Saccharomyces cerevisiae S288C: one gene and its partners. The protein of the gene in region 1 purifies or fractionates together with the protein of each later gene. This does not show direct contact. Each region holds a gene or a part of one and is shown in the gene's direction. Other genes may lie near its edges.

The links. The genes of interacting proteins can lie anywhere in the genome.
Region 2: the proteins of FBP1 (region 1) and YNR065C purify together in Saccharomyces cerevisiae (affinity purification with western blotting, with the first as the bait; one study listed by BioGRID). This does not show direct contact.
Region 3: the proteins of FBP1 (region 1) and PAL2 purify together in Saccharomyces cerevisiae (affinity purification with mass spectrometry, with the first as the bait; one study listed by BioGRID). This does not show direct contact.

Annotation. Positions count from the first base shown.
Region 1 is NC_001144.5:873,246-876,528, reverse strand, and holds FBP1 (fructose 1,6-bisphosphate 1-phosphatase), read left to right. Parts: upstream 1-1,736; coding exon 1,737-2,783; downstream 2,784-3,283. Other genes in the region: translocon subunit SEC61, read left to right, coding at 1-793; PSY3 (Psy3p), read left to right, coding at 2,975-3,283.
Region 2 is NC_001146.8:748,792-756,978, reverse strand, and holds YNR065C (uncharacterized protein), read left to right. Parts: upstream 1-3,278; coding exon 3,279-6,629; downstream 6,630-8,187. Other genes in the region: DSE4 (endo-1,3(4)-beta-glucanase), read left to right, coding at 1-1,233; YNR066C (uncharacterized protein), read left to right, coding at 1,944-3,254; YNR064C (epoxide hydrolase), read left to right, coding at 6,971-7,843.
Region 3 is NC_001140.6:295,827-301,692, reverse strand, and holds PAL2 (Pal2p), read left to right. Parts: upstream 1-3,083; coding exon 3,084-3,208; intron 3,209-3,332; coding exon 3,333-4,308; downstream 4,309-5,866. Other genes in the region: SFB3 (Sfb3p), read left to right, coding at 1-2,548; hexose transporter HXT5, read left to right, coding at 5,246-5,866.

The DNA of each region.
Region 1 (3,283 bases):
CTTTTTCCATCTTTTGGCTGTCAGAAAGGACAAGAAAAGAGCCCTTGTCGAGGCCTTTTACCGTACCAATCTACCTAATATGTTCCAAGTGTTGATGACCGTGGCCATCTTCCTCTTTGTTTTATATTTACAAGGCTTCCGTTACGAATTGCCCATCAGGTCAACCAAAGTGAGAGGTCAAATTGGTATCTACCCCATCAAACTCTTTTATACTTCCAACACCCCAATCATGTTGCAGAGTGCATTGACTTCTAACATTTTCTTGATCTCTCAAATCCTTTTCCAGAAATACCCAACCAATCCATTGATTCGTTTGATCGGTGTTTGGGGTATCAGGCCGGGCACCCAGGGCCCTCAAATGGCCTTGAGCGGGTTGGCCTACTACATCCAACCATTAATGTCTTTATCCGAAGCTCTTCTGGACCCTATCAAGACCATCGTCTACATCACATTTGTTCTTGGTTCATGCGCAGTATTTTCCAAGACATGGATCGAAATCTCCGGCACTTCCCCACGTGACATTGCCAAACAATTCAAAGATCAAGGCATGGTCATTAACGGTAAGAGAGAAACCTCCATTTACAGAGAATTGAAGAAGATCATTCCAACTGCTGCTGCTTTCGGCGGTGCTACCATCGGTGCTCTTTCTGTTGGCTCCGACCTACTAGGTACTTTAGGTTCTGGGGCATCCATTTTGATGGCTACTACCACCATCTACGGCTACTACGAAGCTGCCGCCAAGGAAGGTGGGTTTACTAAGAACCTCGTTCCAGGATTTTCTGATTTGATGTGAATATAAAATGAAAATAATATCCAAAGAAAAAAAAAATCGCATTTAGCCACACCCCTCCCTCTATTTTTTTATTTTGTTACCATAGTTTTATCAACGCCTTCTTACACCTGTATAGAGCTAAATAACTATATATATGTATGCGCAAATAATTCCTAGAAAATCGTCGATTTTTATAAATTCTAACCGCCGATTAACAATATCATACGCGATCTAAATTTATAATAGGCGTGAAGCAAAGGAAGTTGATAAAAAAAAAGTAAAGAACTCCTCATAGGGGGCTCGAACCCCTGACATTTCGGTATCCTTGCTTAAGCAAATGCGCTTAAAAGCCGAACGCTCTACCAACTGAGCTAACAAGGATGAGTTCTTCGAATTTTCCAGTCTAAGATAGACAACCCATCAAACTGCATGGTCCCGGGCTAACTTCTGCTCTCTTTTCCGGACGGATGGAATCGCCGCTTTTGAATTCACCTCCGGGGTATTATTATTATTCTTAGTAGTCGCGGTCGTGCGGACACCCGGAGTTATGCGGGCCCGAAAGCTCATTATGTAGTAAAGCTAGGTAATGTTAAGGGCGTAAGAGCCAACGCAAGGCAGCAATAGCCTGGTATTCCCACATATCAAGAAAGCTTAAAAAGTTGAGACAGGGAATTTGAAGGCGAAGATTGCCGAACTGGCCAATACCCACTACTTTTTTTTTGGTTTGCTTGGTTTCTTCCTGTCGCTTGCCAACTTGTGGCATCTTCCCCACACTATATTATAAGGATCGTCCTATGTATAGGCAATATTATCCATTTCACTCGCTAACAAATGTACGTATATATATGGAGCAACAAGTAGTGCAATTACAGACGTGTATTTTGTCTTGATCTTGCTTTTTGTATGATAGGCCTAAGAATAACAGTGCGAACATATAAGAAACATCCCTCATACTACCACACATATGCCAACTCTAGTAAATGGACCAAGAAGAGACTCTACCGAAGGGTTTGATACCGATATCATCACTCTTCCTAGATTCATAATCGAGCACCAGAAGCAATTTAAGAACGCTACTGGTGATTTCACATTAGTACTGAATGCCTTGCAATTCGCGTTCAAATTTGTATCTCACACCATCAGACGTGCTGAATTGGTTAACTTGGTTGGGTTAGCAGGCGCTTCCAACTTCACTGGTGACCAGCAAAAGAAGTTGGACGTTCTAGGTGATGAAATATTTATCAATGCCATGAGGGCTAGTGGGATCATCAAGGTCCTTGTATCTGAAGAACAGGAAGACTTGATCGTTTTTCCCACAAACACGGGCTCATACGCAGTGTGTTGTGATCCTATTGATGGCTCCTCAAATTTGGACGCCGGTGTCTCCGTTGGAACTATCGCGTCTATATTCAGACTGCTACCAGACTCATCAGGTACTATAAACGACGTACTGAGATGTGGTAAAGAAATGGTAGCCGCTTGCTATGCCATGTACGGATCCTCTACGCATCTAGTATTGACATTGGGTGATGGAGTTGATGGGTTTACCTTAGACACAAACTTGGGCGAATTCATCTTGACTCATCCTAACTTAAGAATTCCGCCTCAAAAGGCCATCTACTCAATTAATGAAGGTAACACCCTCTACTGGAACGAGACTATAAGAACATTTATTGAGAAAGTCAAACAACCCCAAGCAGACAACAACAACAAGCCTTTCTCGGCTAGGTATGTTGGATCCATGGTTGCTGATGTTCACAGGACGTTTCTTTACGGTGGCCTTTTCGCATACCCTTGCGACAAGAAGAGCCCCAACGGAAAACTGAGGTTGCTTTATGAGGCCTTCCCAATGGCTTTCTTAATGGAACAAGCAGGGGGAAAAGCGGTCAACGATCGCGGAGAGAGAATCTTGGATTTGGTGCCAAGTCATATCCATGACAAATCTTCTATTTGGTTGGGTTCTTCAGGTGAAATTGACAAATTTTTAGACCATATTGGCAAGTCACAGTAGTTCAATGATCGCCTTCTTTTCTTATTTTCTTTGTTCTGTACTTTAGTACGCGAAAAAAAAAAATCTGTATATGTCCTTATATATATATATATTTATATATATATATGTGTATGTATGTGTACCGTAAGCATTACTCCTTCTAATAATGAAAATTCTTAGGAAAAGAGAAAGGAAGTAGCGAATGGAATGGGATGGAAGTTTTAAAGAACATTAGAATTTATCCTTTGTCAAACTTCATCACATCAACCAAGAACTATATAAACCTACCAAATGAATTAAGAAACCTAATTAGTGAAGAGCAGGAGAGTAAACTAGGGTTCTTGCACATCATTGAAAGTGATTTTAAACCTTCGGTAGCGCTGCAAAAGTTGGTGAATTGTACTACGGGGGACGAAAAGATCCTAATCATAGATATAGTATCAATATGGTCCCAACAAAAGCAAAGACAGCATGGCGCGATCTACATGAATTCGCTATCTTGCATAAACATCACGGGATTA
Region 2 (8,187 bases), on another chromosome or scaffold:
GGCATTCAACTCGCTTCTACAACTAAGGGTGTAATGAACGGTTATCTAACAACGAGCCTACAATTTTCCACATCTCTAAACAGACAAATATCTTGGTTACCATGGTCTTCTCAACTTGGCTCAAACCTTTTAGAGTATTCTAAAGAACAATTGCAATTATTAGCTGAAGTTGCCAATTCCGAATTACAGGTTAGTATTTCCGAAAGTATAAGCGGGTTAAACACATATTATTTGGGTAAAGTTATCGATAAGTATTCTTACATTCTATTAACGGTCTCCGAAATCATCCAAGATGAAGCCAGTACTAAGAGTACTTTGGAAAACATCAAATCGGCCTTTGATATTCTGCTACAAAATGAACAGACGTATCCACTAATTTACGACACAAAGTTCAACGGTTTGGTCAGTTCAGGAGATTGGGGTTCCACCAGCACGCAATACGATTTTGGTAACACTTATTACAATGACCATCATTTCCATTATGGTTACATTATTCATGCAGCTGCTGTCATCGGCTATGTTGACTCTAAACTGAATGGTACTTGGGCTGCCGACAATAAAGATTGGGTCAATTCATTGGTAAGAGATGTCGCAAATCCATCTGAAAAAGATGAATACTTTGCACAATCGAGAATGTTTGATTGGTTCAACGGTCATTCATGGGCAGCTGGACTTTATGAAAACGGTAACGGTAAGAACGAAGAAAGTAGTAGTGAAGATTACAATTTTGCCTATGCTATGAAGTTATGGGGGGCCACTATCGGTGACCAGTCAATGGAATTGAGGGGTGACTTGATGATTAGTATAATGAAGGATGCAATGAACGACTATTTCTATTATCAAAATGACAACACAGTTGAGCCTGAAGAAATCATAGGAAATAAAGTGAGTGGTATTTTATTCGATAATATTATCGATTATACTACTTATTTTGGAACAAACACAGAATATATCCACGGTATTCATATGCTACCTATCACACCAGTTTCTTCTAATATTCGTTCTGAGACTTTCGTCGAAGAAGAATGGCAGACTAAAATCGAGCCAATTATTGAATCGATAGAAAGCGGCTGGACAGGCATATTGAAGCTGAATCAAGCACTCTTCGACCCAGTAGATTCGTATGCATTTTTCAGTGATTCAACTTTTGATTCATCCACATATTTGGATAACGGAATGAGTCGCACATGGGCATTAGCATTTTCAGGGGGACTGGCCAACTCAATTGCTTAGAAAGAGAACTTGGCAAGCAGGTCTGTCGAGTCTTTCCCACTACATACATATTTTATAGAATAAATCATTTTTACTTAACTTGAAAGTTGTTGCGTTCGAAAAGACCACGGCTAACGGAGACCACTTAGGTAAATGCATGCCAGTAAGAGGTATATTAGTACTTTAATGAATGAACTTAGCAAGGTAATGCCTGCACTAAAATAAAATTCTAACGTCATCCTAAGAAGCATCAATTGGACATAGTGAGGAAAAGTTTTCACCATTTAAAATTTGTTTTGCAGAATACCATTCTAGACTATGATCCCTTAGAGATTCTCATTCTTTAAATATCAGCTTCAACAGCATATCTTTATAGTATTATCGTACTACTGGCGACATTAGCAAATCAAAGTATTTTTGCTCAGTTTCTAGTTTTATCTGTTTGATTCCCCATTAGATGGTAAACACGTTGTCTTGATGACTGAAAAGGAAGTGAACATGGTCAACTCAAAATAACCAGACTCAAAATAATTGCAATTACCTAGGCTAGATATTTTTAGAATATTATGAGAATATTTTTAGAATATTTGCAACCCAAAATATATTTAAATGCCGCCAATTTGCAACCAAAAGATTATCCGCTACCTTTTTTTTAGTCATTGAATCGTAGCATAAAGTTCCGAGCTTTGAAAAAAAGCTTTGAACTAAGAAAAGGTAAGAGATCCTCAATTATGATATTACTCCAAGTCATATGCACGATTTGGACATGTCTCTTTATTCCGTTACTCAATGCAGAGGAATTCGTCCCCAAAGTAACGGAGACTCTTTCAGAATATTCATTTAGTCTAGAGAGCTTTGACGATTCCAACAGTTTAATCAGATTAGATAATCAAGTCGTGTGGATAAGTTCCGATTCTGGAGAAAATTGGGAAGCGGTCAAAGAAATTGAAGGGCATATTCTCGAATTAATTGTTGATCCTTTGCATGGACAGGACAGGGCTTTTGTTTCGATACATTTATCACCCAAATTTTACGTCACCGATGATCGTGGAAAATCATGGAGGGCTCTGACTATACCCGTCTCTGAAAACTGTCGTTTGGGTACTTCTTGCTCTATAGCTACCCATCCGACAGATAAAAAGTACCTTATTGCAGATTGCCCTTGCTTTATAAACGACAATGGTTATATCCAAATACAAAATGAAACTTACTTTACCAACGATGGGGAATCCTTTTACAATATCGAACCTTCCTTGAAAAAGAAAGAAGATGACCATATAACAAGTTCAAGCTGCAACTTTGTCAAATCTAGCAAGGATTCTGATATTGAGGGTAACGACGCTTCGATACTATGTTTGTTCTCGAACCATGGTTACGATAGCGATCGTCACTTAAGTGCCGCATATACACAATTAGCCTTAAGTACTGATGGAGGTAAAACTTTCAAAAAATTTGATGAGTTTAATGATAAAATTATTTATCAATACAAGATATTAAAATCACATATAATCGTTTCGACACAAGATGATAGATACAATGAAATGTCACCCATGGACATCTGGATATCCAATGATGCGTCTACTTTTCAAAAGGCACGTCTACCTGCTCAAGTACGGCACGTCCATATGTATGGAATTTATGAAGATTCTATTGGAAGAATAATCATTCCTATATCTACGATATTCACAGATGAAAAAAACGACCAACCAGCTCCCTCAGAAATTTTAATATCAGATTCTCAAGGGTTGAAATTTTTACCTGTTGAATGGACAATAAATCCTCACTTTGGTTATATTGATATTGCTTCTCCTCATTTCTTAGAAGGAACAATAATTGGCTCGTTTCATCCTTCCTTTGACTACTCTCATAACAAAGGAAAATATAATAAAAAGATAGCCAGATATGAAACTAAAATATCTGTTGATAACGGCCTCACATGGTCAAATTTGAAAGTGGTTGACGAGGAAAATGCAGATTCATTCCCTTGTGATATCACTAGGCCTGAAAGATGTTCGCTCCAGAACCCTTTTTATAGTATCTAAATCTCAAATCCTACTGCCGGAATTATGTTAATGACAGGTTCCGTTGGCGACGGTAGTGAATTCGATTGGGAAGACCAAAAAACTTTCATCTCTAGAGATGGCGGTTTAACGTGGAGATTTGTTCATAATTCTTCTGGGTTATATGCTACTGGTGACCTGGGAAATATTATTGTGTATATCCCATATGATCCAGAGGAAGATGGCGATTTTCAATCTGAATTTTATTATTCTTTGGACCAAGGTAGAACATGGAATGAATATGAGCTGACCAATGCCATAAGTTCTGTCCATCCCTACAAATTGATAAATCCAACACCAGATGGATCTGGCTCAAAATTTATTTTTAAAGGAACGTTTGCCACTACCGATTCCGAAACCAACAGTATAACTTCTTTAAAAGGTGTCGAGTATATAATTGATTTTTCAGCAGCATTCGACTCTAGAACGTGTGAGGAGGAAGATTTTGAAGATTGGGATTTGGCGGATGGGAAATGTGTTAATGGCGCCAAATACAAGTATAGAAGGAGGAAACAAGACGCCCAGTGTTTGGTAAAAAAAGCATTCAAAGATTTGAGTTTAGATGAAACGCCTTGTAATAGTTGTGGTGAATCCGACTACGAATGTTCGTTTGAATTTGTTAGGGACGCAAACGGCCTGTGTATACCAGATTATAATCTGATTGCCTTTTCCAACATATGTGACAAATCGAAGGATAAATCTGTGTTAGTAGAGCCATTACAATTAATCAAAGGTGATGAATGTAAAACACCCATGAAAATTGAACCCGTTGATATTCCGTGTGACGAAATTCCAGAGGAGGGTTCGAGTGACAGGGAAATAGTGACCACTGAAAACAAATTTGACTTCGAAATTAAATTTTACCAATACTTCGATACAGTTGCCGACGAATCTTTGGTCATGCTGAATTCGATAGGAGACGCCTATATATCCCACGATGGTGGACAAACAATAAAAAGGTTTGACACTAACGGCGAAAAAATTGTTGAAGTTGTGTTTAACCCATATTTCAATTCTTCAGCATATTTGTTTGGCTCTAAAGGTAACATATTCTCAACACACGATAGAGGACACTCTTTTATGATAGCTAAATTACCTGAAGCCAGGCAATTAGGTATGCCACTAGATTTTAGTGCTAAAGCACAGGATACTTTTATTTACTATGGTGGCAAGAATTGTGAATCAATCTTAAGTCCAGAATGTCATGCAGTAGCATACCTCACCAAAGATGGAGGTGAAACTTTTACAGAAATGCTTGATAATGCAATTCATTGTGAGTTTGCAGGCACACTCTTTGAATATCCGTCAAATGAGGAGATGGTTATGTGCCAAGTAAAAAAGAAGTCTTCAGAAACAAGAAGCTTGGTTTCTTCGATAGATTTTTTCCAAGGTGATAATAAAATTATCTTTGAAAACATTATCGGCTACTTGTCCACTGGTGGCTATATTATTGTTGCCGTACCTCATGAAGACAATGAGTTGAGGGCATATGTAACTATTGATGGTACTGAGTTTGCCGAGGCAAAATTCCCGTATGGTCAAGATGTTAGTAAGCAAGAGGCATTCACTATTTTAGGATCTGAGAAAGGATCGATATTTTTACATTTAGCAACAAACTTAGAATCAGGACACGATTTTGGAAACCTTTTGAAATCCAACTCGAATGGTACTTCTTTTGTCACTTTAGAGCATGCCGTTAATAGAAACACATTCGGTTATGTCGACTTTGAAAAAGTTCAAGGTCTTGAAGGTATTATTATTACCAACATCGTTTCGAATAGGGAAAAGGTTGGAGAGAACAAGGAAGACGAACAATTGAAGACGAAAATCACCTTTAATGACGGTTCAGATTGGAACTTTTTGAAGCCTCCAAAGAAGGATTCGGAAGGGAAAAAGTTTCCCTGTGATTCTGTATCATTAGATAAATGTTCTCTACATTTGCATGGTTACACTGAACGTAAGGATATCAGGGATACATATTCCTCCGGTTCCGCGTTAGGAATGATGTTTGGTGTCGGAAATGTTGGCGATAAGCTTCTACCATATGAGGAGTGTTCCACTTTTTTAACCACTGATGGAGGAGAGACGTGGACTGAGGTTAAAAAAGGCCCCCATCAATGGGAGTACGGTGATCATGGTGGAGTCTTGGTTTTGGTCCCCGAAAACGCAGAAACTGATTCTATTTCTTACTCCACCGATTTTGGTAAAACATGGAAAGATTATAAATTCTGTGGCGACAAAGTCCTCGTAAAGGATATAATCACCGTTCCCAGAGATTCTGCTTTGAGGTTTTTGCTATTTGGAGAAGCAAAAAACATGGGTAGTGGTTCATTCAGAACGTATACAATTGATTTTAGAAACATCTTCGAGAGGCAATGTGAGTTTGATATTACGGGTAAAAAAAGGGCAGATTTTAAGTACTCTCCTCTGGGTTCCAGAACTGGTTGTCTATTTGGTCATCAAACCGAGTTTTTACGTAAAACCGATGAAAAATGTTTTATTGGGAATATTCCACTTTCTGAATTTTCGAGGAACGTCAAAAACTGTTCATGTACGAGGCAAGATTTCGAATGTGACTATAATTTTTATAAAGCCAGTGATGGTACTTGTAAATTAGTCAAAGGCTTAAGTTCGGCGAATGGTGCCGATATCTGCAAAAAGGAACCCGACTTAATTGAATACTATGATTCCTCTGGCTATCGAAAAATTCCCTTATCAACCTGTAAAGGTGGGCTGAAATTGGATGCACATTTAGCACCACATCCTTGTCCGGGAAAAGAAAAGGCATTCAGGGAAAAATATTCTATAAACACCGGCGCTTATGCGCTGGTTTTTGTTACAATTCTTCTCGTTATTTTCTTTGCCGCATGGTTTGTATACGATAGAGGTATCAGGAGAAATGGGGGATTTTCAAGATTTGAAGAAATAAGATTAGGAGACGATGGGCTGATAGAAAACAATAGGACCGATAGAGTTGTCAACATCATTGTAAGACTAGGATTATGCATTTCTTTAATTACCAAGTCTGCATTTCAACGCACGAAGGCAGGTGTAGCACGCTTTTCTTCAAAATTAAGGGCAAGGTTTGGCAACAGAAAAGGTCCTACTTACTCTTCGCTGCTTCAGGGTCAGTTTTCAGATGAATCAGATGGCTTGCATGAAGATGCTAACGATTTATCCAGTTTCACAAGTCAAGACAGTAATTTTGAAATTGAACAAGAAGATGCTTACAGACCCGAACAAGAGCACACGTCACAGATAGACCAGCCTGCCACTAGCAATATTCCAGACGCATTGCCAGCACGTAGTGCTATTCACAAGCCTGATTCAACTGCTGTGCGCAACGAGGACGAGTAAATAGATTTTTTTAATAGACTAAATAATCGTATGTTTGCTAACAAAAAGTACGCATATGCATTTTCTCAATATTGTGCATTTTCTAAATCTCCATTCACCTTTGTTATTAACATAGTCATTTAAAGGTATGATAATTCAGTATTCATCTTTTCCACAGACGGCGCTGCATGCCATTCGTCTGTAACTTGCCTAGGGACTGCGCCGCACATAATCGTGACAGAAATTTCAAAAGTGATAGGAGCCAAAAGTGATAGGAGCCAAAAAGAACATATATAAGCACGATCAAATTAACTGAACTTGACCACTTTTCTTTCACTGTCAGAATTGGACGAAGGACAAAAATGTCAAATATCATTGCAAGATTTCACAAGATTCAAGTTCAAGACGGTGTAAAGGTTTGGTACCGTGAGGCCGGTGCAGCAGGTAACCCCACAATTTTATTGCTACATGGGTTCCCTACATCTTCCAACATGTTCAGGAACCTCATTCCCTTACTAGCTGGACAGTTTCACATCATTGCTCCGGATCTTCCTGGGTTCGGATTTACGGAAACGCCAGAAAACTACAAGTTCAGCTTTGATTCCCTTTGTGAAAGTATAGGATATTTGTTAGATACTTTGAGTATTGAAAAATTTGCCATGTATATATTTGATTATGGATCTCCGGTAGGTTTTCGGTTAGCCTTGAAGTTTCCCTCCAGAATTACTGGCATTGTTACTCAAAACGGTAATGCTTACGAAGAGGGTCTCGATGACCGCTTTTGGGGTCCGTTGAAGGAATATTGGAAGTCATATCAAAGTGATCCGGTATTTGTTAAATCCCTTATCCCGTACCTTGAAGATCCAGCTAATGTCATATGCCAGTACCATGATGGAGTACCAGCTATCGAATCTGTTGATCCCGCCGCTTATACGCTTGATATTGCGCTAATTCAGCGTACCGGCCAGACCGATATTCAATTGAGATTATTTTTCGATTATCAGAATAATATAAAGTTGTACCCAGCCTTTCAAAAGTTCTTGAGAGATTCAAAGATTCCTGTGCTAGTTGCATGGGGTGCGAATGATACTATTTTTAGCGTTGCCGGGGCTGAAGCTTATCGGAAAGACGTTGATAATTTAAAGGTTGTTTACTATGATACTGGCCATTTTGCGCTTGAAACTCACGTAGTTGCTATTGCCGAAGAAATCATCAGTATGTTTGCAGAAAATTAAAGATACTAAGTTCTTGTGACAATGTTTTCTGAGAAGAATCTCTCGTATTTTGTTTAATTGCCAAAAACACATATGTTTCGACTCACATAGAGTTGCCTCAGAGCGTTCTTTTGTTACCCATTATTGCTCATAAATAAGTCAAAACAGATGTCTGGTCGCATTATCAAGGGTTTGTACTGGTAGCCCGGTGACAATATATTAATCTAAGCATATAACATTTTTAGTAAGTTCTTCAGCCACCTTTTTTACGATCTATGTTGTTTTGAAGGGTAAACCTACTACCATGTCATATGGATCTTTCCCCTAGTAAACTTGTATCTCAAAAGGTCATTTCTGAATAAAGT
Region 3 (5,866 bases), on another chromosome or scaffold:
CGGTTCGGGTTCCGTTATGTCCACGCCTGTAATGGTGAGTCAAGAGCGATTCGGTGCGAGTGAGGCCTCCTCGCCATATGGTCAATCTATGCTTGATATGACAGCGCCTCAACCTACATCTCACATTGTTCCAACTCAAAGATTTGAAGATCAAGCTCAATATTTACAACGATCTTTCGAAACTTGTAGAGATTCTGTTCCGCCCTTGCCGACCACCCAGTTTTATTGTGTTGACCAAGGTTCATGTGATCCGCACTTGATGAGTTTATCCATGTACAACATCCCCGAAAGTGAACACTTGAGAGCCGCCACGAAGCTACCACTTGGATTAACCATCCAACCATTTTCCACTTTGACACCGAATGATGCAGAAGTTCCCACAATTCCATTACCAATGGATGGTACGCCTTTGCGTTGTAGACGTTGTCGTGCGTATGCTAATCCTAAATTTCAGTTCACTTATGATTCAAGTGTTATTTGTAATATTTGTAGAGTTAAGATGCAAGTTCCAGGTGAGCATTTTGCGCCCATGGGTCCCAATGGGCAACGAAGTGATTTGAACGAAAAATCAGAGTTATTGCACGGAACAGTCGATTTCTTGGTGCCAAGTATTTACAATGCTATTCAGGAGAAGGAGCTTTTACCACTACACTACGTGTTTTTGATTGATGTTTCATTGTTAGCTAATGAGAACGGAAGTTCTTTAGCCATGGTGGAAGGTGTCAGGTCATGTATTGAGTATATTTCAGATTTCCAGCCAAATTGTGAGGTTGCTATAATCGTTTATGATAATAAGTTGCGGTTCTTTAATTTGAGACCAGATTTAGATAATGCACAAGAGTACATTGTAAGTGAATTGGACGATGTTTTCTTACCATTTTATAATGGATTATTTGTTAAACCCGGAAACTCGATGAAAATCATTAATGACACATTGATAAAAATTAGTGGTTACATCTCCACCGACAAGTATAGTCACGTACCCCAAGTCTGTTATGGTTCTGCTTTACAAGCCGCAAAATTAGCGTTAGACACAGTAACTGGCGGGCAAGGTGGTAAGATTATTTGTTCTTTGAACAGCTTGCCAACGATCGGCAACGGGAATTTATCGCTAAAAAGGGACAATGCACACATTGCTCATGTTAAATGCGACAATGGGTTCTATAAGAAATTAGCATCGGATTTTTTGAAATCCTACATTTCTTTAGATTTATATGTGACCAATGCGGGATTCATTGATATGGCCACTGTGGGCCATCCTGTAGAGATGACTTCCGGTATTTTGAAATATTATCCCCACTTTCAACAAGAGACGGATGCCTTCACTTTGGTTAACGACATGGTTACAAATGTCTCCAATATTGTTGGTTATCAAGCTTTATTGAAAGTTCGCTGTTCTACTGGGCTATCTGTGGAACAGTACTACTGCGATTCATCTGATAATACGGATCATGATCCAATTATTCCTGTATTGACTAGAGATACCACCTTAGATGTCTTACTAAAATATGACAGTAAAATAAAAACAGGAACCGATGTTCATTTCCAAACTGCATTGTTATATACTGATATTGATGGTGTCAGAAAAGTTCGTTCTATTAACACGTCAGGTGCGGTATCTAATAACATTCGTGAAATTTTCAAGTTTATAAATCAAAATCCTGTCATGAGAATAATGATCAAAGATGTCATAAAGACGCTCGGTGATTGTGACTTTGTAAAGATCAGAAGATTAATTGATGACAAGATGGTCGAAATCTTGACCCAATATAGAGGATTGGTTAGCAGTAACTCATCAACGCAATTGATACTGCCGGATTCTATAAAGACATTGCCTGCTTACATGTTAGCATTTGAAAAAAGCGAATTAATGAAGCCAAACGCTCAAAGTACCCGTGGTAATGAACGAATTTATGATTTATTGAAGTACGATTCATTGAACTCAGCACAACTTTGCTACAAACTTTATCCACAAATTGTGCCATTCCATGTATTATTAGAGGAAACTGATCTGACCTTTTACGATGCTAATGATAAATTATTACAGATCAACTCCAGCTCTATTAATAATCTATCTGTAAGAGCCTCACACTCTAATTTCATTAACGGCGGTTGCTACTTGATTTTCCAAGGTGATACTATCTATCTATGGTTTAATGAGAACACCAATAGAATGCTCTTGCAAGACCTGCTGTCAGTGGATGAATCCTTGCCCGTCAGCCAAATTTCGTTATTTAGTGGAACATTGCCTGAGACGGGCACTAGTATTAATCAAAAGGCTTCAAACGTCATTAAAAACTGGCAACAAGTAGTCAACAAGTCATCATTGCCGTTAGTCTTGTTGAGGCCTAATGTTGATCAATATTACAGTAATGTGATGAGTCAATTGCTTTGCGAGGACAAGACCGTCAACAGAATCGAATCATATGACAATTACTTGGTGATAATGCATAAAAAAATTCAAGAAAAACTTCAAAAAGACGATTTCATTAAAGTCTCGACTGCCGCAACTCACGAAAATATCCATCAAAAATTTGTGCAGTTTTGAGCCTCGCTCAAAGGAGACCCTGTGCTTACACGCAGAAAACTGGAAATAACGACATATTGTTGTGGCTGTGGCCGATGCGGTTCGTATATCCATTACTAAATAATTAAATACGTAAATGAATGAATAGACTGATATGATTGTGATTTTTACGTGTTGGCTATATTGTGCCTTTCTGCATTCACCTGCGCCTCCTCATGTAGAAAGGCGTTGATCAAGGGGAATACAGGAGAAGTATTTTTGGGTTCGTGTTTTGGTGGGGTTCCAGCCACAGAAGGGCTCTCGGCAGCGAAACGCTGACTATGCTGAGAATACTGCCAAAAAAAAAAAAAAGGCAGTATGTGAAACGCAGGCAGAGAAAGGGTGAAATTCTACATAGGATGAGAGAATCTCATAATTACAGGGATAAAACTGTAGCTTTGCTTCCTCTTTTATCTTTATTTTTTCTTGACTGTCTTCTGGTAAATCTTGCAAAATTACTACTATTTTGTATTTCAGAAGCGTTTTTTCCAAAGAATACTATATCAAACAGACGCAAATGAATCAAACAGGAAGGACCATAGGCGGTCCTCAAAATGGCGTGAATACAGTGATTAACCCCTTCAGAGTTTCTCCTTCAGAGGACAGAGTATCAAGCAGGGATGAAACGCCCAGGAATTATAAGTATGTGTAGCTCCACTCCCAAAATTGCACTACAGTGTAACTAACAGTCATGACTACTTCAGAATACTAACTTAACTCTTTTTCTCCTTTCAAAATCGATTGAGATAATCCATAATTATTGCAGTAACCCATTTTTAAATGAAGATGACACTAGGAGGGCCCATAACAGTAGCGTTTCCAATTCTAGACAAGAAAGACTCCCATCATATGAAGAAGCTGCGGGGACACCGAAACAGCAAGCTCCATACCCAAAAGAAAAGAAACGCAGTAGTGGTTCAAATAGTCACCAACACAACCACCACCACCATCGTCGTACATCACACGGACATAGGGACAAAGATAAGCAGAAGAGCAAAAGCAGAACCAAGGTTAAGCCCCCTAAAAATGTAGACACTATTGACAAGATGGATGTTACAGGATTATTTGGCGGATCTTTCCATCATGACGGCCCCTTTGATGCATGCACTCCACAGAGAAATAAGAATAATAAAGTGGCGCCTGTACTGGCCTTCCCAGCAGATGGTCCAAATAATACAGTAGGCGGCCGCACAAGTAAGAAGTCTACCTTAGATGAGGTGTTTGGTAGGGAAACAGTAGACGACGATTCTGAGACGCTGAACCAACTACAAGATAGAGCATATTTATTCAATAAGGCCAATTCCAGTACTACGACTTTGGATGCGATTAAACCGAATTCAAAAAATATTACCCAGTTCGATTCCAAAATGAAAACTGAACTAGTCCATGGGCCCATTACGATGGGTCTAGGCTCAACGACGTTCCTGGATGGCGCACCAGCGTCTTCCGCTGCCATAGAGCAAGATGTTATCAACCACGCACAAGAATCTCGTAGGAAAAACAGCATAGCAAGAAAAAAGTCTCTCCCCTCAAGAAGACATCTACAAGTGAACAACAACAATTTAAAGCTAGTGAAAACACATAGTGGACACTTGGAGCAAAAGGACGTAGACGATAATAGAACTTCTGTTCCGGTCACTGCCACCCAAGGAAGCGGTCACGAAGATGTTGTTAAAAAGGAAAACACCGGCAACAAGCTATTAAGGAGGGTGAAAAGCTTGAAAACTAGTAAAAAGCACTGATCAATGCTTCTTTCTTGCGTTCTTTTTGTTGCGCCCATATATTATTTTATTTATTACATTCATATAGCAATATTTACCTTATTTTATTGGTTACTTTTCTATACGCAAAATCACTACACTATGTTATGTTAAGGTCTCCGATACGGGAATATACCAATCAATACTTATCACTTCGGATTTTTTATGGGTCTTATCCCCACTGTTCCATTTTCTTGTTTAAGGCATCCCGGAGGATAAACTAAAAAGGTGGCCCATCCCACCCGAAATGAAAGTAATCATCTGCTAGCAAAAAGTAAAGAAATGAGAGCATGCTGTGATGTACTGGTGGACGAAATTGTGACCCATACCCACCGAAGAAACATCCGCATGACGTGTTACTGTTACTTCCCGGATTAAGGGATGCATTCTAACTCTGTGCGCCCTTTTCTCTGCAGTTGATCCGCATTCCCCGTGGCTGTGCACATTAGGGGACAGTAAGTAATTCACTTTCTGATCCCGCACTCATAGCGATGGAATAATATACCGGATTTCACACCTTGTTATTGAGTGAAGTACTGCTTGGTGAAATGATATCTTTATGTTCAATATTAATGGTCGTGTGGATGAATATATGGGCATGGGTTAATTAGTTTTAGGGGCACGGAGTAAACAAGAAAGGAGGGCCAGAATCATTAGTAGAGTACCTCAAGTTTGGTTTCTTTTTGATTTCACGTATAAAAGAGTCTCTCTCTTTTCTTTTCATGCTAGTCGAACGGTTCTCCCTCTAAGAATAAGAAACTATCAAAAGAAAGAGAAAAGTCGATTGAATAATTTTTCTATATATAATATACGCAAACAAGATTCGCTTTCACTTTGCAATTTTACTTCATAGCTTTGTTAAAACCAGCAAAAAATATTATTTTTCTAGAAAAAAGAATATATTAGAGGTAAAGAAAGAATGTCGGAACTTGAAAACGCTCATCAAGGCCCCTTGGAAGGGTCTGCTACTGTGAGCACAAATTCTAACTCATACAACGAGAAGTCAGGAAACTCGACTGCTCCTGGTACCGCCGGTTACAACGATAATTTGGCACAAGCTAAACCCGTCTCAAGTTACATTTCCCATGAAGGCCCTCCCAAAGACGAACTGGAAGAGCTTCAGAAGGAGGTTGACAAACAACTAGAGAAGAAATCGAAGTCGGATTTACTATTTGTATCCGTCTGCTGTTTGATGGTTGCTTTTGGTGGGTTCGTGTTTGGGTGGGATACTGGTACTATATCTGGTTTTGTCAGGCAAACAGACTTCATTAGGCGATTTGGCAGCACCCGTGCAAACGGGACTACCTATCTTTCCGATGTCAGAACCGGTTTGATGGTTTCTATTTTCAACATCGGCTGCGCTATCGGAGGTATAGTTTTGTCAAAGCTCGGTGATATGTATGGACGTAAGATTGGTCTGATGACTGTTGTCGTCATTTACTCAATTGGGATCATCATCCAAATCGCCTCCATTGACAAATGGTATCAATATTTCATTGGAAGAATCATCTCAGGACTGGGCGTTGGTGGTATTACAGTT